Linked DNA regions of Drosophila melanogaster. The protein of the gene in region 1 interacts with the protein of each later gene in a pairwise test. Each region holds a gene or a part of one and is shown in the gene's direction. Other genes may lie near its edges. The genes, in order: CG18094, Df31, sick and RecQ4.

Region 1 (5,539 bases):
GCCATAGCCAAGCTGGAATCGAACGTTCAAAGCAGCTTCCAAGCCACGGCCTCTGGAGTGGGAAATTTGACAGCCATTGTTAACGCAATCCAGGGTCAGAATGAAAACTCTATTAGGAATCTTACCAAAGTGGAGCTAGAAATCAGGAAAGCCCTGGAACAAGTGGCTGCCAATCAGAACAAATACGAGCAGAACCTAAATGAAGTGGCCTCATCCGTCAACTCGCATCTGTCGGAGATTCAGCAGCTGCTATCACAGGCCGTCATAGGGGAACTCATCGGCTTGGACAATAAAGCGAAGGTCCTCCAGGAGCAGCAGCGCAACATCGTGGGTCAAGTGGGATATCTGGGCGAACTTAAGGCTCTGGCAGATCGTGCCAATCGCAAAGTCAATCAATTGGAGTGGGGTCTGGTCATTCTCAACCGCACTCAGTCCGAGAGCCTCAACAGCATCGAGCACACTGTCCATGGAGTGCAGGTGGCCACCTCACAGGTCGATCATAAACTGGCTGCCCTACTGAACAATCAGAAGAACATTGAAAGGACGCTGGATGGCTGCAAGCACAAAAATCCGTCACACCAGAAGCCCCACGAGATCTGGACTCACCCGGAACACGCACCAATTTACAAGTAAGTTTGTATGCCCTACTTCTGGGTGCACACTAAAACCACTCTTTTCATTTTAAGGCCAAAACCAGAGGGCAATCAAGGATACGAGAACGTCTATGCATCCCAAGAAGAGGCTGAATACCTATACAAACTTTGGTATGGAAAGGGCCAGTAGCATTAATACGAAAACTGAAGATAGATGTTTTATGCCATATTCAGAAATTGCTTGATTTCCTATATCAAATCCCAGCATGTCGATTCTATCTATCTTATATAATTGTATATTAAACCGTTCTGTAACACAATGTAATAAACAAGAGTAAATGGAGGAAATCGAACTTTATAAGTTGTATATTGCTAAAAAGTGTTATGTCCAACTTTATATATCAATTGTTGGAAAACTTATAAAACTAGATAAATGCACCTGACATAGAGGAAACCGGCTCTACCTCTATAATTTTGTTGGATCCAATGGATGAACCTGACCATCATCCCGCTCAAACTTAATTATCAGCTGCGACTGATGCTGGTTCCAGTGCTCCGATCGATGTAATTTAGCATTCGTCTTCGAACGGAATTCCTCGACTGACAAATCGATCTCAATTTTTTCGTTACTTGCATCCGGATCGGCGGGGTAAGCATCATCTCCTGGCAAGAGATGCACTAATCCATTTGTACACTTGTGCACTACAGGATGAATCAGCTGAATGCCTTTGACCTCACGCTCTGCTGCAAACTGACGCAGGTTATCTAAAGAGGAGAAGTTTAGGCAGCGCGAAAGTTCATAGAATTGTGGAGGCGGCAGCCAGAGTTCTTTTCTTAGGCTCGCTTGAAGGTAGTCCAATGGGGAACGCCACTACAATAATATAAATGATAGTACATTAAATGCAACTTAAAGGTTTCGCGTATCGCTCTTGTGCCGTATAATATCCCACCCACCTACCGCAGAATCCTTGACCTCATTAGGTTCGATGTGAACCCTGGGTTCCTGTTCCAGGGCAGTCATAAAGAAGGCCGTCTCGAAGCGCTTCTTAAACGTGGACGGCGTGCGCCAGACAGACCACTCGTGAAGTGACCAGACATCTGGAAGCACATCCAGCTGCTTGCAGAGCTCCAGGAACTGGCTGGCATTGTTGTGGACGATGTGCTGCCAGTGGGCGCGGTCAAACTGGTCATAGAACGCTCCATAATCGCTAGTGGAGGTCAATGATTTGCTGTCCCTGCACAGCAGGATACCCAACTCCTCGAAGGTTTCTCGTATGGCAGTCAGCCGCAGAGCTAGGGATCTGTTAGGTGCGAAAATAATGTTACATCACCAATTTCCTAAAAACCTATTTGAGTTGCATACGGATCCAGCGATTTCTTATCTGCCTTGGTGTGGAAAATATCCGGACGTGGACCCTTCACGTGGCCCACGTTCCGCAGCTTAGCGGCACTGAACTCGTTTCTCTGAAAGTGTTCCAACCAGGCAGGCGAACTGTCCGAGGCATCGCAAACTCCGCCAGGAAACACGGATGACTCCGGCATGAAAGTGGACTTCTGCGTGCGTGTAAGGAGGAGGGCCTAGACGAATAGATTACGTCAGAATGGTGAAGCTAAGTTAACGTTAAGCTGCAACTCACATTGTAATCACACGACGTGGACTTTTCAACTTGGTTCTTAGCCAGAAGGATTAAACTTGAGGAGGAGCGAATTTTGGGCAAAAGCCTCGACATATTTAGGTAACACAGCGATATCGATAGAGTGGGTGGTAATATCGATTGCTCACCAGCTGATTTTGTTTACACTTTTGAAATACCCACCACCTGTTGTAGTCAGATGGTGGGGTGGGGTAGTTTATAATTAAAAGAACTTCTGAAATTAATTTAAGTAAATTATTTTATTAAGCCAATAAAATATTTCTAGGTTTATTTATTAATGTGAGTACTTATTTAAATTTCACATTCTATCACTGAAGTCAATGAAATATAGGATTTTAATTCATTCCCTCACCTAATGTCAGAGGTATCCGAGGGTCGAGTCTTTTGACTAATGCGTTAAAGCATTAACAACAAGCTCTTATTGCTTTGAGACCAAAGATCAAAGGTTTGAAAAAGTGGATTTGGAAATTAAATGGATTATTGACTATAATGACTACTAAAACTGGAACTTATAGACCTTCGGCTAGCCTTATTGTAGCCGCCAAAGAGGATTCTTTAGAGGACTACGACTACAGAGTATGTTAAGTATAAGATTATAAGCTCTAAACGTTTGCTGACTGATTGTCTTTTATTAAAGTTATTGTTGATTAAACGAACTGAAAAAACTTCCTATGCATTGAACCATTGCGTCTTTCCTGGCGGCGTCTTCGATCCTATAGAAGATCAATCTGCGAAATGGATAACTTTTTTCAAATCCTTTGGGGTGACCGATGAACAATTAAAAATGTGTAGGCACAATCAGGATTCTCCAAGGCCTGAGTTTCTATCCGGTGGAGACCATATTTCAAGGGACATTGCACTGCGACTGACTGCGCTCAGGGAAACCTTTGAAGAGGTGGGCATCTTGATTTGCACAGAACAGGACGACATACAAAAATGGGATTCTAAATCGGGTCATCCTAGAACCGTGCTTCTCGAGTCAAGCGAACACTTCGAATGGCAACATCGGGTTCACAATGATGCCTCACAGTTTCTGGAACTCTTTCGGCATTATAAAGTCATTCCCAATATCTGGTCTCTTCAGGAATGGTCCATTTGGAGGACAGCAGCCACTGCCAATCGGAAATATGACACTGTTTATTATATCACCATGTTAGATAAGTACACCAGGAATATAAAGCTGCTTCTGGAACCGCACGAGGTGGCTTCGGCCCACTGGTTGAGTCCGATCGAGGCTTGGTCGAGCTCACAGAAAGCCATTATTTGGCTCCCGTTCATGCTGCTCTATGACATCGCTCGTCTGATGAACTTCTATAGCTTTCAGGAGCTTCTCAACTTCTCCCGCCAAAGGAGCTGCAATGGAAGCACAATGGTGCAGCCCGTCTACTATCGCTGCGATGACTGCATGTTTGGAGTTCTTCCTGGTGATGAGCTCTATCCCAAAGAACCAGGCGCTTGTACACAAACAATTATCTTGTCGGGATCGGTGGACGACCTTCATCGAAAGTCCAAGCAATACAATCGCTATATCGTCTACGACTTCCACAAGGTCGTACTGGCCTCCAATATACCGCCCTGCGATGGGCATCTGCCACTGCAGCCTCTTGTCAATAACAAGCTAGCCAAGTTGTAGTAAAAGAATATAGTTTTAATAGAAAATATATATATTTCCTCTTGCGCTACAACAAGTTACCACTATCCAACTCGGTCTGTATGGCGCGGCATGCGTGGCACAAACCGTCCTTGTTCTCCAATCGCTTCTTGGCCAAGCCCTCGAGATCTTGTCCGCTTTTGTACAGGCTCACGCCGGCCTCTGAAACAGATCTGGAGTACTCAATAGCCAGCAGAGTGTCGGATAGTTCGGAGTCCAGTGTAGATCGACAGTGAACACAAGAGGACTGCTCTGGATTGGAATTGACAGCTATTTTGTCGCCAGTTCGGAACACTGTGGATACTGTGGAGGCGAAGTTTTGCTGCAGATTGGCCACAAAGGCTGATGTAAGGTTCTGTAAGCTGGCAGTCTCACCATGCTCCATCCCATAACGTGAGCCTTTTTGAAAATGTGGCTTTAGACGCTGTGCATGTATGTAAAATTGAATCTCCTGCTCAGTTAGGTCCTTGAGAGGTCGCAGCAGCTTAACATCTCCAGACAGCCGATCGTCGAGGAGAGCCACATCCAAGGCGGCACTACCGCCACGACCTAGCGCTATTGCAGTCAGCAGCTGGGTGGCTAAGTCAACACTTATATTAGATTCAAAGACGTGAGTACATTGCAGACACTGAGCCACGGAGCAGATGAGGTTCTTGCGCTGTTGCTGGAGGTAATCCTGGCGAGCTGTCAGACTTCGCAGTTTTTGAAGCTTGTGGATAAGCTCATTGTTTGCGTTGAGGAAAGGACTATAATCCTTGATCCGCTGCAAGGAGCTGGGCAAGGCGCCCAGTTCAATCACATAGAAATCGAAGGGTGCGTATTGTGTTGATAATCTCTGCAGAGCTTCCAAGTCCACAGGATCGCGACCTTGCACTTGCTGCTCCTCCACGTAGACCACACGTGCGTTGCAATGGAGTCTTTTAAACGTGTTCTGTGTTTGCGCGAAGTGCAACATGTCGAGCAGAACGAGCGACTCTGCGGACCCGTCCAGGACAAGAAGCACCTCGGCGTTTCTGGGCAGAATCTTGGCGGCTCCCAGAGCTGCCCGAAACTTGTGCCTCGCATACGCTAGAAAGCATTCCCGGCACTCCGCAGTTCGGAAGTTGAGTTTGTAGAGCTCGCCGGAGTTTACATCGCATTTGCTGCAATTCCCTGGACTGAGGACGATTCCTAATGGTAGGGATTCCACTACCATGGCGTGGGCGGCACCCTCGTCTCCAAAATCATCTTCACCAATGCTGCACATGGCAATAATTTACGTCTAATCCACAACAAAAAGAATTTCGCAGATAAACGAAATGACCAGGGATGAATACGTTGTGAAATGAATGGATACAAAATAGCGGAATTCTAGACAAATGTCTTCTATCTATAATCTATCTATATAGATTATCTATATTTAGTGTCAAAATTAGACGGCAAGCTAGCGCTTTCTTATAATATAATATCGAATATAATATATCCAATATAATTTAAAAAAGCGTAAACCTTTAACTTATATTTTAAACTCATATATTACCTTTAGCTACGGTATAGTCTATAGCTGTCAACACTGTTTCGAGGGCATTCCGTTATCGAAGGCTATCGATATACCTGGCAATATATCGACTACGCAGCCTAGACTCGTCAAAAGCAACCTT
Region 2 (7,743 bases), 2.1 Mb from region 1:
CTTCGACTAAACTAAGCCGCCCCGATAAACTTGACTGATTGTCGATTTCAGCCTCACCAGCAAGGACCTCCGTTATTTCATGTTTAAACGCTCAGAGGTCGAACGAGAGCAAGCTTTTTCGGCTGAAAGCTCGTTTTTGCGCATGCGATCGAAGCAATGCACTGATAACGGTACAGCTGGGCTATCCTGATAAGAGTCCCTTTGCACAATAGCGTATTCAGAATATTACCGGAAGAGCATAAAGTTAATTAAATCTCATTAAGGTCTCCCGCCAATAGGCAACCACTGACCGATGAAGAAAACGTCATGAATGCAGCTGACCTTAAAATGAGTGCAGCTGCTATTTGACAGCGCCTGTGTGAGTGTGTCGGGGTGGACTGCACTATGGGAAACCTAACCACTTTTTCTGGCCAAAATTAATAACTTCAGAACGGAGAAATTTATTAGGAAAAAATTCGACAAAATTTAAAAATTGTTCAAAAGTGTGGACGTGGCCGGTTTCGCGGCTTTAAAAATGCTTATGTATGGCAATTTATATTTTTATCGAATTTTGGGTTGAACATTTTTTTTGCTTTTGCCACTCACTTACTCATAATGCAAGCCACACTGATTAAATGCCTTACAGAATGTAAATAACGCTTCAGAAAAAAATTGGTTAATTTTTCATAGTAGAGTTCTGTTGCATTTATTGATGTCCACTAAACATAGTATACAAACATGAGTAAGAGATATTTACGTTATACTTTTTATACATTAGTAAGTAATTTGGGGACCAAAGAATTTTATTCAGAATAAAAAAAAGGCATTTCCAAGTCTATTTTTCTAAATGTTATTTTTTAAATACCACAAATTATGAATTTAGTAAATAGATCCGTTGATTTTTTTCCTTAAAAAAATCTACTGATTTCAAATCAAAGCCCGCCTCAACGATGTAAAAAAACTAGTAACGATGACACCTTTACTGCTCTGAAATCATCTTTTGTGATGAAAATATAATTTTGTTCTGTTCAAGAATATAGGTATCTTCATTGATATGTACGTGCTTATCTACGTATATAATTCTTTGCTGCGAACTTAGACATTAGAGCATAACTGATTTGAATTCAATCTTTTTTGTGCGTTCAAGGGGATTTCAAAATGGTTGAGAATATTAACCTTAGACCAGTAGTGCCCAATTTCCTGCGTCGCGGAAAAATCTGTTTTCTTTAATTATTGGTCGATATATCGCCTTAGAATATCGTGTCGAAAGTTTCAAAAGCTAATTCTCGAAATTTTGGGAGATGCCCTTCGGATTTCGGAAGTCATACTTTCCTTGACGGCAATCTTTAAACCATGTTTGGTTCTATATGAAGTAAAGACTTTTCAATACAAACGAATGCCTCGTTCCTATAATTATATTTTAGAAACAAGAAACAACCCCAAAGCAAGGCTAAATGGAATAAACCCAAAATTTTACAGACGATGAAATCGAAAACCCGAAACAAATCACCCACCTGTAAAGCAAACATCCGTTGTCCAATTTTATTAAATCAGCATGTTTTCACGTTCCAAGCCGACACTCACAAGCTCGAAAGCAAAAGTTTGAATTTCAATAAATAAAATCTTAAAAATCTAATAGCGCTTGTATCCAAGAGCGAATGCACTTCACTCCAAAAGCCAAAGACACTAGATTATTCTAGTGTCTTTGCAAAAGCCCATTAAAATTTTACAGCCCAAAGTCCATATTAAAAAAGCTCGAGACCGAGGATTGATCGTCAATCAATATAGATCAATAAGTGGAGTTTAGCATGAGACCTAAAATTAAATGTTGACTTATGAAAATTGAAAACTTGTAATTATATGTATGTATAATAGCGTCTATGTTCTTCGGCAATGGAATCTCAGTCCTAGTGTATTGTTTTCCTTGCCAATAGCCTAAAATATTGTAAAATTTTAGTGAAGCAGAAAATTTACCAGCTGCCTGGTAGCGCACTCTAATTCTTTTTTCTATTATACCGATCAAGGGACGCAGACAAGGCCACTATACATATGTATGTATGTACGTACTTATGCGTGCATATCTGACTACCTGAAAATGTTTTCAGAGGGGTGAGGATTATTTCCGTCGGTTTTATGTGTTTGATTACATACATATGACATATCTTTAAGATATTATTTTTAAGATCTTGTAGACTGTGTAATTTACAAGGAAATTGATTGATGTAATTTAATAAAAAGCTTGAATTTTTTAAAAATGACGATATGTGTATATATATATATATGAACATACATGTTTGTGTGTTTGTTTATTTAATTTTTAGGAGTACCGGATCAAAAAAAAAACTTAGAATTGGGAAGGTGTATTACACGAAAAATCACTCAGGTCAATGAGAAAAACAAGGATAGGAATGCATTTGAATATTTTACCTGCTATATTTGTGTAGCCGCTAAATAATAGTTAAAAGGTGGCAGCCCTTTTTAGGGGACCGTTATTTTGAAATATTTGTCACTGCTATATTTCATCTCTTTAATATATTAAAATAAAATTGTAAAAATCTATCAGCATAAGCTAACTCCGAATTAAATAGAGAACGGGTGATAACGATAACAAACAAAGATATGTTTTCCGGAGGCGGAACTATCGCAAGCGGACTACCGACGTCTACCAACACTACAGGGCGGCGCTTTAAAAGCCGGTCCGACGCTCACCGCTCTCTCATTCGGCGTTTTTCTTTGTGACTGTGTGGACGTTCTTAATTGTACGGCAAAATCTCCAGCAACCAAGCTACTTTCTTAGCAAAGCTACTAAAGAGGAAACTATATTGATAAAATTTCGTTCTTTTAAAATCTTTGTGCTGATATTTAAGGCGTGCTTGGTGATCCAAAAACCCTCAGTTACAACGTGTTTTCTCGCTTCGCGTTTGAAAAGTAATATCTAACAGTAATTCAAAATGGCTGATGTGGCTGAGCAAAAGAAGTGAGTACTTTGCTTGCCTTGTTTTCGGACGTTTGTGGATTTTGTTTAAGCAATGGACTTGTAGCGAATTTTGCTAATGAAAATCTATGTTATTTGCCGAAAAGATTTGGAAATTTTCTTTTGAATTCTGTGTCTATATACGCAAACCGCTTGTTGGCACTAATGTAGTTGTCTCGTTCCCGCCAAAGGCAAAACGGTGTGCGCGCAAAAACCGACGCCGTTTAATTTGGCGCGGCGTCATGGTGCCTTCTCGCTCTTTCTCCGGCCGGCAAACAGCAACGATGAATTATTTGTGTGTGTGTGTGTAGCGGCGGAGTAATGCGTTGAGTGTATGCGGACGACAGGCCAAATGCGCAAAAGTCTATAGACATGTGTGTGTGTATGCGTGTGCAGCATTCAAGTTGCCGCTCTTTTCTTGTGCTGTTTCATTTCATCTGTCTGTGCTACCTCGTATGTTGCTTTGCTGCGTTTCTCACCAGACATCAAATTTCGAGGCTTGCCTTTTATACCCATTTGATAGCTTAAAGCTCGAAGCTTGAAATTAACAGTATAAATTTTCACGCATATCTATATTGGCATTACCAAAAATACTCCCTCTTTCCCTATCGATGAACACTTATGTATATATTTTTTTTAAGTAGTTATTATATGTTGCAGCTTATAATACATAACAAAACAAAACTCATGCCTAAGGCTGTTCCGGTTTTCTTTGAAAGACGCAGGTTGTATGACGTTATGCTACTGTTTGTATCGTTTGGACCGTTATTTTTGTCGTTTAGCGTTGCTACTTTGCAACTCTCTTTTTGTTCGCCCTATAGAATTCTATCTACCTCAGATGGCGAGTATCTGTTGGTAGATGAGTGCGAGAGAAACGACTATATTGTCATTAATCCCATTAAAACTGGTTTTTATTTCTATCTTTGTTCGTTTTAGTTTAAACGGGTCTCGCTTTTCATTTTGCACGTCTGCAAGCGTGTTTTTGGTTCTACCCTGTTCTCATCTGTTGGTAGAGAGCACTGAAATAACAAATGAATATATGCCATTTATATGAAAAAGAGCGTGCCGCCTAATCGCACTCACCTTTTCGCGCTTCCTTTTGCGTCGCAGCTTGCACGAGTTGTTGATCCCATTTTTGAAAAACGCCGGCAGATGTAACAATGCACTTTTTTTTTAGTTTTAATTCCGAACGTCCTGGGGCTCTTATGAATAGAAAGTGGAGGATGAAAACATAAACGTTACCTACCGGCGCTATATTGAAATTTTTCTTTTTTTTTTTTAAATTCAATTAATATTTAATTAATTAATAATTAATAGTTTTAGTTTTTGATAATTTTTAATTGATTTACTGTTTAGAGTTTTGTATGTAGTAGAATGCTATGCATACGAAGTTCAGTTCGGCCACCTTCGGAAAAAATTATAAGTGCATACTGACTTTCGTCTCTGATTATCACCCACAGTGAGACCCCTGTTGTCGAGAAGGTCGCAGCTGAGGAAGTTGATGCTGTGAAGAAAGATGCAGTTGCCGCCGAGGAGGTAGCAGCTGAGAAGGCGAGCATCACAGAAAACGGTGGCGCCGAAGAGGAGAGCGTAGCCAAGGAGAACGGAGCCGCCGACAGCAGCGCGACCGAGCCCACCGACGCAGTCGATGGTGAAAAGGCGTCTGAGCCCACTGTTTCTTTTGCCGCCGATAAGGATGAGAAGAAGGACGAGGATAAAAAAGAGGATTCCGCTGCCGATGGGGAGGACACCAAAAAAGAGAGCAGCGAAGCTGTTCTACCTGCTGTCGAGAATGGCTCCGAGGAGGTCACCAACGGTGACTCAACAGGTATGATGATATCAATGATATCAATGCCAAACAAATTTTCCACGTTCATGTTCTTATTGTTCAATTTTTATTATCGCCTTACAGATGCTCCCGCCATTGAGGCTGTAAAGCGGAAGGTGGATGAGGCTGCAGCCAAGGCAGATGAGGCCGTCGCCACGCCGGAGAAAAAGGCTAAGCTTGATGAGGCCAGCACAAAGGATGAGGTTCAGAATGGGGCCGAGGCTAGCGAAGTGGCCGCCTAAGGGAATCGCCCGCGGAGCAGCAAACTCAGTAATCTACTTATTAAATACTTACTAACACAAAAAAAGCAAATCACAGAAATTACGGTTCTACCGCCAGGAACCCGGACTGTATCCATTTTCCGCTCTTGTGAGCGGGTGATACGTGGGTGGCTGCTTGGGTGGCGGGCGCAATTCTCCAATAACAATCCGGCAATGGGAGCGTAGTTTTATAGCGTACCGGTTCTCTCTCTCTCTACTAACAAACAACCTACCAACCAACAATACCGGCAACAAACGAAAACAAAAAATCCATTATTATTTAAAAACTTACTTAAAATCTTAACTTTAAAGCAAAGTATATATATATATAAAGCGAAGGATTAAGAGAACAATATTAAGCGAAATTAAGATGCGAGACCCTCTATGTTTTAAGAATAAAAGTTGTAAACAAAAGCGTCAAATTTAATAATTGTAAAAAAAAATACGAAGCGAATGAAACAAATTGCAAACAAAATCTTTAAGTAAGAAAAACATCAAAACAATTACGGCAAAATAACATATGTAATCCTTTACAATTTTTAATTTTACAACCGTATCTTATTTTTGAGTATGAATATTTATATCGAACAAAGTAAAACTAAAAATTCAGTAAAATGTAACAAAAAGCTGCCAGCAACAACCCCAGAAAAATGTATGCCAACCGGCTAAAAAAATACTACCACATAGAAACAATAAAAAGTACGAAAAACAACTTTTACAGCAATACTCTGAAATGTTTATTTTTAAAATGCTTTCGAAATCGTACCTTTTTTATTTGTAATCAAGGTACCACCTATTTCACATTCCCAATTACATTTTATTTACTTGTCTAAGCCTACGAAATAGTCTGCGACGAAACTCTCATTAATGTTCAATGTTTAACAACGATTTAATGGGCAGGAAAGGTAATGGCCAGTAAATCCAGCATTCAGCAAAATCAAGATTCGAGATTATTAAAAAATAAAATGAAACGTAAAAATTAAAATCAAACTGTAAGCGTAACTTTTATTAATTTGAGCATGTTTGTATTCGCACAAATAACAGCTGTCGCCAATAGTAGAAATTATTATTTTCTTGGTAGGGTGCGGTCCAAGTACATATTAGTGGAAAGTAAACTATTTTAGGTAATATGATTTCGACACAGAACGTTACAAATAGTATTACTATTTTGCCTACGGTAAGTTGTTTTTTTTTTTGTATTTTTGGACTTTCGTTTAATTTTAATCAGAAAATTTAATATTTGATAATCTCTTGACTCATGACATTATATCCCATATATTTACGTCAATTAAGAAGCCTGTAAAACAAACACGGCAAATCTACAGTTCACACTTTAGCTAAAATTACATGAAGAATAAACTCCGCAAAATTTTATTTCATTTCATTTATTTCACGCTTAATGACATCCAATTTTTTTTTATTTTAACCTTAACAATAATAAGAGTACAGGCCAATAATTAAACCTTATCTACTTAGATATTAATATCAATATGAATAATATGATAATGAAAATATTATACCGATTGGGAAAAAAATTTTATGTAATTGAAAAAAAATCTAAGCACTTAAAAAAGGCTATTATCTAAAAATTACAATTAAGGTGGATAGGTCAAATCATTTATATGCTGGTGCACAGCCTCTTGACATTTAATAGAGAAATTTTGGGACAATCTTATTAATCTATTATAAACCACTTCAATATTGGCTCGGTTATGTAAATGAGCTGTTGAGTGATGCCAAGGGTGATTAAAGATTAGTTTTAATATTTTGTTTTGTCTGATTTGTAGCAGGTTAATGTGACATTTGGCCATTTCTGACCATACTGGAGCACCGTAAAAAGATAGTGCTTGGAAGATTGACCTGAACAGAACATTTTGTTTTCAATGTTTTATCTGGAATTTATGTTTATAAATGGATAAAGCGAGCAGATAATGGCTTTAAGTTGTTCGATTGTGTCACTTATGTGATCTTTGAATTTTAGCCTATTGTCTAACGTGATAGATACCCAAGTATTTGACAGTTGTTTCCCAGTTGTTTCTGCAAAATTAATTTCGATAAATCTCTGGGAAGTGTTCCATCTTCCAATCCTTCTGGATACCAATTTATACTAGTCTTTACCCTATTTTACCCTTTATCCGTAGACAAGATTATTTGAAAAGATTTTATCAGGTAACGTTTTTTTTTTTATTTTTTGTCAGAATCAATAGTCTAGCCAAAAAAAATAAATGCCAAAAATCTTTATCAAAGGTGTGGGCGCGCGATTTTTTGTCGGCTTGTAGGAGTGGAAATCTTTTTAAACATGATTGATTTTATTCATAAGTTTGCAACGCAGGTAAGAAAATATTTACGTACTCATATTATTAAGCATGTATTTTATAAGATATTTTGTCGGCCGTATGAACGTCGAGATTTCAGGAACTATAAAAGCTGCGTTGAGATTAAGCATACAGATTCTAGAGACACAGACGCAGCGCAAGTTTGGTTTGTCTTGCCAATTTCTAGACTATAGCATTCTCTGTTGTTTTTATGTTCAATTTATTTTCCTTCGCAGAGCATATTGTCATGCCCACAGTTTCGACATTTTTTTGGGGTCTTTTTATTTCACTGCTTGTTTTGTTAATTTCTATCAGTAATGCTGCGTTAATCGTAGCAAATCGTGGCCAAATCTTTTGATTTCGTTTTTAAGTCTGCTCTGGTTTTTG
Region 3 (7,002 bases), 340 kb from region 1:
AATGGAGACACCATCGCATCGCACACACCTATCAAATGTTGAGTATTGTCGTTTTGGAACTAGCTTTGTCCATCTTGGTGCCATACGGAAATGATTCCATTATGTTCTTGTGTGATCCCTATAACTACCTTTTATTCATAAAATCGAATAATATTGACATTGCTTCAGTAATTCCTTTTAGTTAAATTCCAGTACTCAACACTTTGAAATTAAAAGTCATGCCAATGCTCGCTGGTAGTCCTACTATAAATATTAATATTTTTCCATCCTATTTCGATAGCAGCTGATGCTTATAAATATGCCCTTGATAAATATTTATAATTTTTGCTTGAATTAACGCAAGGTCATTAAAATTCCGCTAATGTCTACTGAATTTCTAAGGGTGTACGAAGCCAAAGAAAAATCTTGTTTTCATTTCCTCGGTTAGTTTGTTTTTTTTTTTTCGTTTCCTTTGGTTTTCCCCACCATAAATTGTCTATTGCTGTCATACTTTTAGGCATTTAATAAATTTTATGACTTTTTTCGCCGGGAGGAGGGAAAATGAGTGGGTGGAGGGCGGCAGGGGGGGTTTGCTGTTTTAGCGTTGCTCTGCTTTCCTTTTTTTAATAACATTCGACGCGGTCCCCGCTGCTTTTCCGCTTTTCCTCGTGTTCGCCGTTGTCCGCCTAGGGATACATTCGCCTGTCTCCAGAATCCCTCTTCCGACTCTTTCCATCCACTTCCACTTCTTCGGATTGCAAATACGGGTATTTATACCTCCGCTCCTGCTTTCCGCTTCCAGTTGCTCCCCGAAGTGTGCAACAATCTTTTATATGAGTTTATTATGTATGCTTTTGCTTGAAACACACAATTTCCTCAAGCGATTTCCGTTTTGCCCCACCCGATGGGTCTTATTAAATTGCCCCACACCCTTCGCGCTCTTCATTATCCACCAACTGGCTCGTTAAGTAACGAAAATATGATGACTGCCTGCAAATTGCGCTTTAATTGAATTGCACATAGATTCTGATTTAGTTTTATACATATTTTTTTGTGCCCTCAAGCTGGAGCGGAAGTTGTGCGTTGTTTTTGTGGTCCTTTGCCACGCCTACCACGCCCCAACTTGCGGCGCAACTCAAAAGTCCTTAGAAGTGTTTCAAACTGTCATACGCATTGTAGTTGGCTCTTTTTATTCCCTTTTTACTTTTTTCGGTACGGCCTTTGCACTTTATTTATGCCCTGTAATTTAAAATTTCCATATGGAGTTTGGCCAAGAATTTACTGAATTATATGAATTTATACCTACCCTTTAAAATTCTCTCAATGTTTGTTAGAATTTTCGCCAAATATATTTGTTTTGATGCAATTTTCAAATGAAATCTAGTGGATAGAGTATCTAGAAGTCACACAAAAGGCGTACTTATGAGTTTTTTCTGGCAAACCTCAGCATACTTATACTTCTCTTCTTTGTTTGAATAACGTTTTGGGTTCTGGTTGGGCTTTTTGGTGCAATAAGAGCAACTGAAGGATGGAAAGAAAAGCGTGCACTTTTCAAAAGTGGGCTTTTGTGTGGAAAGCGAGTCGAGGGGCTGGGATTCTGGTCAACTCACTAGCAAATCAAAAGCATTTCTAACCAACTTGCCAGCGAAGTTTGCACAGCGTGTTGGGCGCAGAAAGCGGCGCTAAAAGAACTCAGATTGAGTGCAAATAAAATGATGTCATGAAGTGGGTGGGCGGGCTAAAAGGCACGGAATGCATGCTCCACTTTATTTCAGCTATCAACTCGTAAAGTTTGCGGCTTGATGGCCTCCGGCAAAACGTCGGGTTTTCCCAGTGGGTGGAAATCTGTTCTTTTTTTCAGAGCTGCAGAGCTGAAAGAGACCACGGCAAAACTGCAATTACAAGTTGGAAGAGGAGGACTCAACTCAATGCGCAAATCTTGACAAGTATTTTGTCAACTTTGACTGCTGCCAGCTGGAAGCAAAGGCAGATGAAGTGCGAGCAACTTCAACCTCAAAGCAAAAGTGTTTAACTTTAAGTCCTGCCTTCTGCCTTTCTCTTCGGGGTCCTTTCATTTTTTTCCTTTTTGCCCCCATTTCGTCCCCATTTCACGGAATCGTCATGGAAACTGAAAGTGTCAGGGATTAGGTGATGCTGGAGTAGAGAGCCACTATCCACGTGGCTTTCAGGGGGATTTTAAGCCCAGGGGAATGGACGCAGACAAGGATTGTGTGGCCTTATAGGAGTTAAACATTTAATACGTGTACTGCCCAGTTATAAAAGTATAGATTCAACTGATTAGAGCACATTTGTAGAATAGATTTTAACATTTCTGCTTCTTTAACTACAATCGTAATGGTGATGTAAAGAAAAACTGTGTTGTTCCTAGAAGATGGATTACCAATTGCATTTAATCTGGGAAGTAAGTCAAACTGGAATTTTATATTATTTGCATTTATCACCATTTCATTAGCATACTTTGCTAATCTGGATAAATCAACCTTGGGCTTGAGTGCTGCCCAACAGCCCTCCCCTTTTCAGCTGCCTACTTTGACACTAATTAACTTGATTCAGTATTCGAGACTACTGCCATTGCCTACTGCCATCTGCAATTCAATTAAAAATTAACATTTTAATTGCAAATTACTTTCAGTATACTTTATGGGACGCAGGCACAGACACCGGCAGAGAAACTCCACTTAACTGGAGTAACTTCTTTCGCCTCTGCCACCTGCAGCCTGCCATTTCCGGAAACGGAAGTAGCAGGATGAAGAGGAAGAAGAAGAGGAGCCATTGGAACATCGGCTCATTGCGAGGCGTTTAATTCTATCATGCGCCAACAATTATGCAACTTGTTGGTTCACTGACTCAAATGGCCAGGCGGTTTTCAATTTGTTGCCAATAAAACTTTTTCCATTTCGGTTTCCTCTCAGTTGTTGCCACGTTGGCCTGGCGAAAAATGTTCGTCATAGTTTTGTTTTGTGAGTGGGCTGAAATAAAGGAAATTAAAAGTTCATTGCTGGTTTTCCGAGTGGAAACAATGCTGGGATAATCTCGATTTGGCGAACATGCTGTTCTTTGGCATTGTTCATTATTTGTTATATCTATTTGGATTACTCACATTTACTCTACGAATCTCAGCAAGTGTAATGGAAAAGATACCTGTACGTGAGTGATGAACCATTCCTTTGTTCACTTCGCTTTCCACTTAATAAATTCATGGATCCATTTGCTGTCAATTTGTTATTGATATCTCCGTTATGTCTGCATTTTTGCGACCGGGGGGAAACTGAAGGAGAAATGAAACTTAATCAAATGTGAAACTCTAGCGAGCACTTGATATGCATTTTCGTATTGAATTTCCCTTCCAGCTTCTATCGCACAATCGCTTTTATTCGAAAATTGCACGAACAAAATAATACCTGTGCTGTTTGCCGGAAGCTGAAGAAAAATGTATGTGAATGCTTTTCGGTTTTTTCAATTTAAAGCATTTAAGTTGCAAATATATATGTATCCACCTCTGCGGCTTCAATGCACAAATTCAAGTTAAAACCGCATGTGCAGTACTTTAATTGTATTATTGTTCACCATTTATCGCAATCCCTGCAGCGTTGGCTTCCTGTTAATTGCTTTGTAGACAAATTATAAAAAGCTCGACTTTGGCATTGTTTCGGCGGCATTCTGGAACACTTCAAAAGCAGACGAAACCACGGCGTAACCATGACCATGACTATGACTCTTTGCCCGCAAAAACAACCTAGAAACGTATAACTCTTTTTTTTCCCCCGACCAGCTGGGTCAGTTTTAATTTAACTTTGACATGCATCAGCTAAAAAATCCAATTACAAACACAAATGTAAACAGAGATAGTAGAGAGAGAGAGAGAGAGGACATGGAAAAAGGACCTTATTTTTTTTGGTCGAAAGACTAGAAAACCCATTAACGCGTTTTTGCCCTCCATAAAGATGAAGATTTATAAAGCCATTAATTTGGCCCAAGCGGCGAAAAAATGTATACAAAATTTGTGAGTGAGTGTGTGAGTGAAAAGTGCTGAGCCCATGGAAGCTGCAGTGAAACCCTAGAAATGTCCAGTCAGGCAGGAAAACTGCGTCCGGGTTCCTCAACCAAGCCCGATCGCAATGCGAATGAGGAGAACCAACTGGGCGCCAAGCCCAAGAGCCAAAGAACGGACAATCATCATCAGAATCAACCGAAGATGTTGCCACATCCCAACTACATGGAACTGGAGTTCCTTGCCACGGATCCCACGGCATCGGCGCAGAGTACGGCCTATCCGGACTTACCAGTTAGCTATGCCACCTGTTTGGTGGGTCCACCACCGTACAGGGATCCGCTGCCTCCCACACCACCGCCCCTCTCCCAAATGCCATCGAGGCTGCTCCACTCGGCCCCCAATACGCCCAGTCGTGGCAAGGTGGTGCTCAGCAAGAAGGAGCGCAAGGAGCTCAGCAAGCAGCTGGGAATCGACGAATCCTCGATCCTGAGCAGCAGTGCCCAGTCGAGTCCCTACAAAGGACGTGTGAGTGAGCTGAAGAACTGCATAGCTCGTGGCCTGTTTGCCACCCTTCATAGGGGCTCACAGAAGTCGCTGCAGCAGCAGGAGGAAAGGCCCATCAGTCAGGAGATATCCCCGCCTCCTCCAGCTCCAGAATCAGCCAATAATAATGAAGATGTGGCGGATTACTCCGAAAAGCTAAGGAATCTACCAGTGAGACAGCGCAAGGCTGCCACCTCGCACATGGAGAACTACTGTCTCTTTGATCCCGTGGACTTTATCAACGAGAAAGCCATGAGATATCCCAGTACTCAAGCCCACGGATTGAGGGATCCCCTTTTCAGCTCAAGACAGCACTTGGTCTGCGAGGATGAAGATGAACTGGTGCCAGAAGTAATATACGATAACGAGGAGCTCGAGTTGGAGGAGACTATTATCATAGAGACTTCAGCTATGCCAGAAGCGGAATCAGAAGCAGAACCGACTGCCAAAAATTCAGAGACCATGTCTAGTTTTGATCACCACAACTACTTTATTATAGACCCAGCGAACTTTCCCATGGACATCGGCATACCTAATCCCTATACCAACGAGCAGCTGGTGAATGCCAAGTTGGAGCAACAGAACCTGGAGAAGCTCTTCAACGAACTGGAGAACACTGCCAGCATGTCGAACAGCCAGGAGTCCAAAGATACGGAGACCACATCCACGGCCCTCGTAGAATCATCCACCTCAACGAACTCAGCAAGTTCCGCGGGCAGCTGTTCCCTGGCCAATCCCGCCCAGCAATCGATGAAGAAAAAGCTGACATTTCTGAATCTTTCGCCCTTTCGCAGTGGCAAAAAGTCTATCGACAAAAATACTTCTGAGCAGCAACGTGCCATTTCCGAGCTGGTCAGCACGGATCACATGTTGCACCTGCAACAGTTGTTGCAGCAACAGCGAAAGGATCAGCGTTCGCACACGGTTCCAACGGAGTCCAACTATGTGCTCTTCAACCCGGGCCCAGTGCCTAGTCGACATGTCCAGTACAAGATACGCAAACCACGACCTCTATCAACCCACAGCGATGCGGATAGTGGTTTCCTATCGCCCTGCTCCCCCGAAGAAATGCGTGCGAATCCGGCCATTTTGGTGCTTCAGCAGTGCGACAGTGTTCAGGGATATATGGAGGTAAGTCTGTGAATATTTAATGATATAAATATATAAAATATCACCATGACATACAAAAAGAAGAAGCTTAATAGAAGCATCTGTTAGGTTAATGGAGAAAAAAACCGAAAACCTAAACCACTTCTTATTTTAAACAGAACTTTTGTGCTTCAGCTTACAAAGTAAAATTCAATTTTTATCCAGACATTTTTCGAAGACTTTCAAGAAGAAAGAAAACCTTTTCCCAAAAAATACAAATCATTTATCTTTGTTAGCTTTGATGGCTTGTCCTGACAAAAGGGAACTTTATTATTACCTATGCAAATCTGGGTTTTAATGCTAAGATGCAGCCCGAAAAGTGCCACAATAATGTTCAGCTCGGTGGGGCTCACCAGCAAATGGCTTATTTTGGTGAAGCTCTTATGACCCTCTCAATATTGCAGTGCATGTGGCTAGGTTTCATACATTTCCTACATAATCCTCTTACCGTAATGTGAATCGCCGCATTAACCATTGGAAGGAACCCCACGCAGCATCTTATCTATATGGATAATTTCGCATATCTTAAGCCGGTAATCATTGCGGGCTGTTTCCGTAGTCGCACTTGTCGCCATTTGCCGGCTCACTTATCTTAACGAGCGAGCAACTTAACAAGTCTTATTATGCATCTTCAAACACCCCAGGGGAGGTGTTGGCTTACCCCTCGAAGGACCATTTTCGGAAAAACCCACCCGCAAAGGCGATGAACAAATGTCACCCCCAACGGCCGAGTCCTCGAGTATAAATTATCAAAAAAAGAGAAGAACGAGTCACGGAATTGCAGTTTGGAGGCAGTGCACTGCAGATGATTCCCAAAATCGAGGGCTTTTGAGAGCAGTTCCTGCTGGATTGCATCTGGCTTTCCCATTTTCCCCCGCCCTTCGCTCTTCGCTCTTGTTTTCCTCGTTGCCTCGGGGGAGCAATCAATCGTCGCGTTTTCACTGCTCGCTTCATTAGTTTTCCCTACCGCCAAACATTAGTTTGATTGTGTGCCCAAGTGAGGGACAGGTTGCAAGAGAAGAGAAAAGCAAAACCCAGAAGGAAACAACAAAAACACACACCAGCTGCGAATGTATGTTCAATCTTAGCGACTTTTAATGGAATTGAATTAAAATTGTTGCCATGGTGCCGAGTTGAAAGTGTGTGTACTTACACCCCTACTGGCCCACATAAGCTATTCGCCCTTCCCAATTTTCCGTGCCACAGGCATTTCCCATCATTTGCAAATTGAAATACGCGCTGTACATTTTTGCTTTGAGGCATGCTCCCCCCCAAAAAAAAAAAAACAAGGAATTACAGCAGCCAAAGAATCTCTT
Region 4 (9,573 bases), on another chromosome or scaffold:
GATAAAACCTTGGACCTTGGTAAACTAGTTATCCTTGCCGTATTATCCACATAGTTACCTACAGTTCCTGCGGCTCTCCATCGTGATGGGCCTTACTTGGATATTCAATGTCATTCCGTATTCTGCACGGCTCCACATTTTCTGGGAATGGGTCGGGATAATATCCGAGTATTTTCACAGCGCGTTTGGAATTGTTTTGTTCGTTCTGCTCGTCCTGAAGCGCAGCACATGGACTCTAATGATGGATTCTTAAGCTTGTTTCTATATAATTCTAATAATTGTTTACAATTAAAGCTTTAAACAATTAAAGCCCCTCATTTTATTAATATCCTTTGCTGAACGAAGGAATTGAATTGAATTTTATTGAACTCAATAAATAAATATAGTTTTAGAAAACGATGTACTTTAAACTGCCAAGAGGTCACCGCGACAAGCTTTTCACTTCGCCACCCTCTGGTAACACTGATTCTCCAGCCACTTTCGATTCTTTAAAAAACATCGATAGGTATCGCCAAAAAAATCAGCTGCTCTGCTTGTAGTTTTGCGATTTCATTGCAATTTTAATTTGCTTTACTGTTCAAAAAGAAATACAGTGCAAAATATGCCGAACGAAAACGCAGAGGACCTCTCGGGTCAAGAGCTAAAGCAGAAGGCCAAGGAGGTGGCCGACGCATCGGAGGCAATGCTCGAAAAGGTTGTTGCCGGCTTAAATATCCAGGACACGGCATCGACGAATGCAGCAGGAAACGAGGATGCGGAGCAGCCTGATGGTGCCAAGAATGAGGCTTCAGTGTCTGCGAATGCAAGTAAGTTTTCAATATGCCTGTGAAAAGTCATTTAGAGGCTCCTCCTGCGGCTGAAAAAATGAGGTTAGGTTTTGTCGGGAACTACAGTCCAACCTCTCTAACTTGAACTGCTGTGCTATTCATTTCAATTCAATTTTCAATTTTCATTTTCTGTGCAATTACTCCAAAGATTAGCCCTAACGGAAAAATAAACAACTCATAAATCATAAATACATATTTGATTTTGATGAAATATGAATATACTTACATAGATACAATTGAGTTTTTTATTACGAATAAAATATGTGTAATATAAGATTTCTACCTTGTTGATTCCATTGATTGATGCTTCATTGAAACCCCAAAATTGGGCAAATTTGTTGTCATGGGAAACTAGTCCACTGTCGTGATGCCTTAAGCTTTTTTTGGGGCAGATTAGTCATTCCAGTTTAAACTAATCGAAAAATGTTATAATACTATTCAACGCATCATCGTTTCTTTCAGGCAAACAGGCCTTGCTACAAGCCGTTTCCGATGCTATGGCCAGCACCCGTCAGATGGCCAAGAAGTTTGCATTTTGGTCCACACAGCCAGTCACCAAGCTGGACGAGCAGGTGACCACCAACGAATGCATTGAACCGAACAAGGAAATTAGTGAGATTAGAGCATTGCCATACACTCTGCCAGGCGGCTTCAAATGGGTGACACTAGACCTGAACGACGCCAATGATCTCAAGGAGCTGTACACGCTGCTCAATGAGAACTATGTGGAGGACGATGATGCCATGTTCCGTTTCGATTACCAACCCGAGTTTCTAAAGTGGTCGCTGCAGCCACCTGGCTGGAAACGCGATTGGCATGTTGGCGTTCGTGTGGAGAAGTCCGGCAAACTGGTTGGCTTCATCTCAGCCATTCCCAGCAAGCTGAAGTCGTACGACAAGGTGCTAAAGGTTGTGGACATCAACTTCCTATGCGTCCACAAGAAGTTGCGCAGCAAACGGGTGGCTCCAGTCCTGATTCGGGAGATAACGCGTCGCGTCAATCTGACGGGGATTTTCCAGGCGGCCTATACAGCTGGAGTTGTGTTGCCCACGCCAGTGGCCACCTGTCGCTATTGGCATCGATCGCTCAATCCCAAGAAGCTGGTAGACGTGCGTTTCTCTCATCTCGCACGTAACATGACCATGCAGCGGACAATGAAGCTGTACAAGCTACCCGATCAGCCCAAGACGAAGGGCTATCGCCGAATCACAGCGAAGGACATGGACAAGGCCCACAAGCTGCTGGAGGACTACCTAAAGCGCTTTCAGCTGAGCCCGGTGTTCAGCAAGGAAGAGTTTCGTCATTGGTTTACCCCCAAAGAAGGTATTATCGATTGCTTCGTGGTTGCCGACGAAAAGGGCAACATCACTGATCTGACTAGCTACTACTGCCTGCCATCGTCCGTGATGCACCATCCGGTGCATAAGACGGTTCGTGCCGCATATTCGTTCTATAATGTGTCTACAAAGACCCCGTGGCTGGACCTGATGAACGATGCACTGATCTCGGCCCGCAATGTCCAGATGGACGTGTACAATGCCCTCGACCTCATGGAGAACAAGAAGTACTTTGCACCGCTAAAATTCGGCGCCGGGGATGGAAACCTGCAGTACTACCTCTACAATTGGCGCTGTCCATCGATGCAGCCGGAGGAGATTGCTCTGATACTCATGTAGTCACCTTGTCACCTAAGCTCACATTCTCGCCCTGCCTTTCACAGCTCCCCTCCTCCGCTTTCTTCACCCTGCTGGAAGTGCCGTGCGGCTGCTTTGCTTTGCTCCTATTTACGTAGCTATTACCTGTAATCTTCAGTTATTCCAGCGAGGAAAGCCCTTTGCGAGCATACACCTAAATAGCATCATTGTGAAAATTGCATTTTGCAACGGCCAAGCTTCGATATTTTTTACTACAAGAACGAACACAAATTGTATAAAATGCGCAGCAATATCAATAAAAATGTAACGTTTACTTGGACCTTTATTGCCTATAATTGACAATAAATTATTTTGCTGCTCTTTTAAAGATGACAAGTTTTTATTTTTTTTAAGCAGATTATTGTATTTTTGCCCACTGTCCCAGCATGTGATAGTCTGGCCACTCTGTCACATGGCCATTGGTCTGGCAAGGTCGGTGAAAAAGCGCGCGCTAAGCAAAACAGCTGCACTTGTGTTGGTTTATTAGTTAACGAAATCTGATTCCAATGTTGGTTTCCTCATAATATTGACAATTAAAGACAGCCGCCGACATGGACGATTCGGTGTTCAAGCTAAAATACCAAAAGTACAAGTTGCGCGTCAAGGTGTGGGAGAAGGACTTCAAGAAGAAGAATGGCCGTGTTCCATCGAAGGTGAGATTGGGATGCGGATATGACAAGTATGCTAACTGGTTGACCTGTTGCAGTATGATATAAGGGACGCCAGTCAGGAGATTCGGGACTCATACAAAATGTACTACAAACTGAAGACATCCTTCCTGGAAGAGACGCTGAACGATGTTCTCAGCGAAGATGGATACGATATTCTGGAGATGTCGCAGGCCAGTGATTTCGGTGTGAGCATGCTGGACCAGGACGTCAGTCTTAATGAAGGTCCTCAGCTACCGTTGGATATATCTGCACTGGTGGGGCCGCAGAGCTCTGGTAATCTTGAGGAAATTCCACAATCGGTGGAGGGCTCATTCTCAAATCTCATCGACCTGCCCAATCGTCAAGTACTCACCAATCTGGTCAATCGCGATGAAAACCATGTCATTCGCAAATTCGAGGCGGTGGAGGAGCTGCCAATCAACCAAAATGCCTGGGGCTTGAATGTGAGTAAGAAGCCACCAGCTCCACCACAGCCTGTAGAGGCCTCCAAATCCGCTCCGGGGCACGGAAAGCAACCCAAAGCGGGCGCTAGTCTTAAGCCCAGCTTGAGTGCCAAGTTATTCCAATCCTCACGCGGTTTTGCTAAACGAAATCCCCGAAAGCCGCTTTCACGTTGTGTCAGTTCCTCTAGTTCCACCACATCACTTAGCTCAGTTCCTACTGATCATCACGAGGAACTGCTCGACTTTGAGACCATACTCATACGCAAAGCCCAGGAGTACAAGGAGAAGCAGCAGGCCATAGCTAACAATCCAATGCTGGCCAGTGAGCACAGCAAGGAAAGTATCAAAACACTGGTGGACGACGGCTGGCTCCGGCGAAATACAAAGGAAAACACTCTTGATGAAGAAGTGCCCTTTGCGGAAGCAAATAATAACAGTGGTACGTCCAAGAAAACAAACTTTGGCCTGGCCAATCTTGATTTAAGTAAACTAAAGCCCACTGTTAAGGAGGAAAAAGTGTTGCAGGCCAAGCCCGATCAAATGGCAATCATACAGGAGCTGCAAACAGATATGAATTCTAGCATGAACCAGAAACCAGATCATCTTAATCACACACCTCCTGCATCCAGTCAAAAATCAGTCGCTCCTAAAAATAAACCTCCACCTTCCGAGCAGGAAACCGATTCGGATTCCGACTCTGTTGTGGCTGAGAGTGAAGAAGAGCAGGAACCACAAGAATATCGGCAACTATCAAAACGTCGCAAAATTGTTTCAACAGCATCAGGAAAAGTGGAAGTAGCCGCCCCAGTTGAAATTCCCAACAAAGTCGAACCAGAGACAGAAACATTTGCTCAAGAGAATCCAGATTTCTCTGCAGATGAAGACCAGGATGCTACATATGTACCAGAGAATAAAAAGAAAGATAAGGCAAAGCGCAAGCAAGCCGCCGGAAAACAAAAGACCACTAAGCCCAAAGCGGAACCAAAACCGAAAACAGAAAAGAAAGCCAAAGTCAAGGCCGAAAAGAAACCCAAGGCGGAGAAAAAGCCGAGGAACTCTAAAAAAGCCATCGCTGTCGAGCCGGCTCCTGATCCAGAAGAGGATGAGCGCCAACCATTGAATCCAGAAGATTTGAAATACGTGTTGGCCTTGGAGGCGGGAGATATTACCTCCGTTCCGCGCATTAATGTGCAGGATCTAGAAGAAGCGGATGCTACCGCCCAGCGCTATATTAGAACCTTCGCCGCTGGACCCAACCCAGGATTGTCGGAAGGGTCCAACATTCGAGTGGATGAAAAGAGAGCCGCAGCACGAAAGAAGCTGGAGGAACGCATAGCAGCTGGTAAATTAAACGAGAACTTTGTGACCATAAATATTCAAAAGAAAAAATTCGTGCGTGGCAAAAAGTCCGTGAACTTCAGCAAGTACAAGAAGCAACAGTGGCGGCATAAGAAACGAGTGGCTGCCTTGAGTGGGCCGGACATGGATATGGGTGGCTGTGATGGCGGAGTGCTCACGTGCTTCCAGTGCGGCGGAGTCGGGCATTTCGCTCAGCAGTGCAAGGTGAAGGGAGACAGCTTGTTGCCACTTTCGGCACAGCTGGAAGAGGATCCCTCGCCGTTTCCCACGCTTGCCGAGGCTCAGGAGATGGCCAGTCAGGGAGCAGTGGTGGCACACAGTCGCAACATCTCACGGCTGCCCCAAGCGGCCAATGCAGCCATCCTGCAAGGCGATGAGTTGAACGAGTCAGAGGAAGATGACCAAGAAAGCAGCGGAGATGAGGAGGTACAGCAGCATCCAGATCCAAATTGGTCTAGCGATGAAATGGACGTTGATTTCGAGGCCCTAGATGCGGCCGTCGAAGCTTCCCTAAGCCAACCGGTTTCGCAAGAGAAAGCAGCTTCACCTATTAAGACATACGTCGGCCACAAGATTCCCGAGGAGTTCCTCAAGCAGGCTGGACTGGACACCACAGCCTCTAGTTCGAATCGCAGCCAGCACGGTGGGGTGAAGCCCCTATACGATCTCCTTCCGGATGGCAGTGTCCAGGACACGACGCCAGAGGTCCTAGAGGCACTCCACATGTTCGGGCACACCAACTTCAGGAAAGGTCAAGATCGCGCCATCATGCGCACTCTCTCTGGACTATCATCGCTAGTTACACTTAGCACGGGCAGCGGCAAATCTTTGTGCTACCAATTGCCCGCCTATTTGTATAGCCGGAAAGTGGGAGCTATTACCCTAGTCATCTCACCATTGGTGTCACTTATGGAGGATCAGGTGACCGGGGTGCCGCACTTTCTGCGAGCTCACTGCCTGCACACTAATCAGACCGCGCCGCAGCGTATGAAGATTCAGCAGATGATTGCCAATGGGGAGATTGACATTCTTCTTGTCTCTCCGGAGGCGGTTGTCGCCGGGGAACGAGCCACAGGATTTGGAGCCATTCTTCGCCAGCTGCCGCCCATTGCATTCGCTTGTATTGATGAGGCGCATTGCGTGTCTCAGTGGAGTCACAACTTTCGACCCAGCTACCTAATGATCTGCAAGGTGCTGAGAAAGAATCTCGGTGTACGCACAGTGCTGGGGCTAACAGCCACGGCAACTTTGCCAACGCGTGTTAGCATTATAAATCACCTTGGCATATCGGATGGAGAACGTGGTATTATAAGCGACATCCCACTGCCTGACAATCTAGTGCTGTCCGTCTCCAAGGATGAGAACCGGGATGCAGCTCTGCTCCAACTGCTCAATAGCGAACGGTAAGACTTGGCCCACCATCTTTGAAACTTGAAGGAGACTTAAATACATTTTGATCATTCTAGCTTCGAGCCCTGCCAGTCCATTATTATCTATTGTACGCGTCGTGACGAGTGTGAGCGTATCGCTGGGTTTATTAGAACGTGCGTGCAAGACCGTAGGGAGCCAACTCAGGATCAGACGAAAAAACGTAAACGTGTGAATTGGCAGGCTGAGCCCTATCACGCTGGAATGCCCGCTTCCAGGCGACGAACCGTTCAGAAGGCCTTCATGAGCAATGAGCTGCGCATTGTGGTGGCCACCATTGCCTTTGGTATGGGCATCAATAAGCCGGACATACGCGCGGTAATCCATTATAATATGCCAAGAAACTTTGAGAGCTATGTGCAGGAAATTGGTCGAGCAGGACGCGACGGGTTGCCTTCCCACTGTCACCTCTTCTTGGATGCGAAGGGTGGCGACCAGAGTGAGCTGCGTCGCCATGTGTATTCTAACTCCATTGATCGGCATGTTATCCGTAAGCTGCTGCAAAAGATCTTTGTGCCATGTAGCTGTGACAAGGAGGCTTCCAAGAGGACAGCTCTTCCGATTCCCCTTGAAGGTGATGGTCCTAGAGTGCATATGTGTCCGGGACACGAGATTGGCTTTTCCGTGGAGAAAACCGTTGAGATGCTGGACATCCCGGCGGAGAACATATCTACTTTGCTCTGCTACATGGAGCTTGATCCCCGATGGTGCATCAGTGTGCTCAGCTCAGCATATGTGATGGCTAAGGTAATCTCGTATGGTGGGCCAAAGTACTTGAAGTAAGTCCTTTAGACACGTGTATTGTGTATGTGTTTAATGTTATTGGTTTTTCCTTGCACAGGCATGCTGCAAAGGAATGTCCACCATTGGCCATGGCTATTGCTTTGCAGATTAGAGATAAGACATTCAAGGAGGACTCTAACATCATAGAATTCTCGGTCACAGATATCGCGGCAGGAATTGGCTGGAACAGTGGTGTGGTCAAATACCAACTGAAGGATCTGGAGTGGGTAAAAGGTGAGATGGTAATCCGTTCAAAAAAGGATCCGTTTAATTAGAAATTAATTTTTCGATAGTAAATGGATATCCCAAGCGATCGCCCATCACGGTGAGCTTCTATGATTTGGGATTCCGCATCAAGGTGCCGGGCGATTTTACCGAATCAGAGATCGACAACGCTCTGGACACTCTCTATACGCGATCCGTGAAACAGGAGCGTACGCAGCTCATCCAGCTGCAATATGTGGCCCATGGATTGGCTGCTGTGGCCTACAGCTCTTGTGGCCAGTGCTGCAATGCGGATTTTCCGCAGGATCGGGGCGAGCAGCTAAAGGCTATCGTGCGCAACTACTTTGCCAATGACTACCCACAGGATCTGGAGCTGGAAATAGAGGTAATTGCTTGGCAACACATTTCAATTTCTTACTTTTATTGCTTTCCTCTCTGTCCATTAGCCAAGTAACGTGCCGGATGAGAACATCATAGACGACGTTCATGCTCTAATAAACATGTACCCGGACAATACATTTACCGGACGTAATATTGCGCGCATCTTTCATGGCATCATGAGCCCGAACTATCCGGCTGTCATCTGGGGACGCTGTAAGTTCTGGCGTGCCCACGTCAAAGTGGATTTCAATCGCATCCTGCACCTGGCCAATATGGCTATTATCAAGAGGCGTACGTGACCGTAATGTCGGGATGAACCGCCGATACCATGGTTAACCAATTAATAGCTCCAAGAATTTTAAAAATATGTGATGCCATTCAATAACATTTTACTCGCACAAGTCTGATAATACAAAAATAAATTACAAATTCTATATAAACAGCTTTTGTACTTATTATGAGTGGAAAGAGAAATTCGTACGGACAATCTAAATTTTTAGCTTGGTTTTTAAACTCTCTAAATCTATGTGTTTCATTAGCTAATAAATTTGCACCATACAATCCCACGCCAATGGAACAATAACAATTTATGATAATTTCATTGCCGAAAACAACAGAGCACTAAAATAAAGTAAACAAATGCCAAGCTCGTTTAGAGGCAAATTGCAGCTACGGCTTCAAATGAAACAGCAGAAATCAATTCGATGGAGCCCGTAAAGAAACAAACATCCGGCTGAGTCATTCCCAATAACATCACGAAATGTATAACCCCGGTCGAAGGTGTCATCTTCAAATCGAAGCCTAGCCAAAGGTCGTCCTTCCTCAGTTCACACGAACGCGAAGCAAACAACCCAACAAATGGGGGGATCTAACAACAACTCAGGGCACAGACAACTGGAAACAGAGAAACATCATTGAAGTTGTCGGATCAGCGAAGCGTTTGATAAAGGTTTTTTATGACTTGGCCATTTTGTGAGGCCTTTGGCTTCTCGTGCCGATGTTGTTTATAATCATAAACGAGACTCGAGTACACAAAAGTCGACCCAATTACAACTTGTTTGTTCTGAGAGTGAGACGTCAACGTCATCATCCTCGCTCCATGATCATCCACATTGTGCAGATGGCCAGCGAAGCCATCGAGCAGCAAGCTGACCTTGCCTCCAATTTTACTCCAATTTCGAGGCATAAAAGCGAAAATCAATTGAAATGGTAGCAGGCAAATACCACAATGCAAGCAACGAGATAGGAAATAATAAAAAATAAAGGAAAAACTAAAAGCAACGAGCAACTTGACTGGCCAGCTAGCTGATGCAACGGACAACATGGCGTATGCTGAATATTAAACAATTGCTGACATTCCAAAGAAAATACCTTGAGATGGGCTTGCTTTACAAGGAATATATAGACTTCGATTTTGTATTATGATTGCTAATGTTGAGAATTCTTCAACGACAACAGTTTATGTTGAAAGCATAGAAGATCTTTACATTGCTATCATATATCGAAACACTATTTCCCCTCGCTCACTAGCCAACTTTAGCACTTTGCTGACAATTTACGTACCTGCTTTAGGCCACATTCTGTTGGCCAACCGACCAACCGTTCGATTGAGTTCAACTACGGCTATGGCTAAAGGCTACCAGAGCTGACCCTGTTCGCACCTCGTTATGCATCCACTGGCATTTGGCCGTGCTCCTTCATAAGTACTCTAGTATCTGGGCAATGTGATCTCCTCTCGTTTTACTCATGCCATTTTCTGCAT

Evidence for each region.
Region 2: the proteins of CG18094 (region 1) and Df31 interact in a two-hybrid assay, tested with the Drosophila melanogaster proteins (one large-scale study listed by BioGRID).
Region 3: the proteins of CG18094 (region 1) and sick interact in a two-hybrid assay, tested with the Drosophila melanogaster proteins (one large-scale study listed by BioGRID).
Region 4: the proteins of CG18094 (region 1) and RecQ4 interact in a two-hybrid assay, tested with the Drosophila melanogaster proteins (one large-scale study listed by BioGRID).

Annotation. Positions count from the first base shown.
Region 1 is NT_033779.5:19,487,749-19,493,287, forward strand, and holds CG18094 (uncharacterized protein), read left to right. Parts: upstream 1-2,513; 5' UTR 2,514-2,737; coding exon 2,738-2,824; intron 2,825-2,885; coding exon 2,886-3,881; 3' UTR 3,882-3,927; downstream 3,928-5,539. Other genes in the region: CG13083 (uncharacterized protein), read left to right, coding at 1-629, 687-783; CG10194 (uncharacterized protein), read right to left, coding at 1,060-1,464, 1,552-1,894, 1,957-2,171, 2,231-2,323; Ctu2 (cytosolic thiouridylase subunit 2), read right to left, coding at 3,928-5,145.
Region 2 is NT_033779.5:21,624,880-21,632,622, reverse strand, and holds Df31 (decondensation factor 31), read left to right. Parts: upstream 1-2,690; 5' UTR 2,691-2,930; coding exon 2,931-2,956; intron 2,957-3,646; exon of another isoform or gene 3,647-3,972; intron 3,973-4,036; exon of another isoform or gene 4,037-4,161; intron 4,162-4,413; coding exon 4,414-4,781; intron 4,782-4,865; coding exon 4,866-5,023; 3' UTR 5,024-6,314; downstream 6,315-7,743.
Region 3 is NT_033779.5:19,823,211-19,830,212, forward strand, and holds the start of sick (sickie), read left to right. Parts: upstream 1-3,263; 5' UTR 3,264-4,063; coding exon 4,064-5,668; intron 5,669-7,002.
Region 4 is NT_037436.4:8,169,356-8,178,928, reverse strand, and holds RecQ4 (RecQ4 helicase), read left to right. Parts: upstream 1-2,950; 5' UTR 2,951-3,072; coding exon 3,073-3,174; intron 3,175-3,227; coding exon 3,228-6,397; intron 6,398-6,460; coding exon 6,461-7,201; intron 7,202-7,263; coding exon 7,264-7,439; intron 7,440-7,498; coding exon 7,499-7,815; intron 7,816-7,876; coding exon 7,877-8,110; 3' UTR 8,111-8,289; downstream 8,290-9,573. Other genes in the region: mthl7 (methuselah-like 7), read left to right, coding at 55-253; Nmt (N-myristoyl transferase), read left to right, coding at 602-806, 1,290-2,503.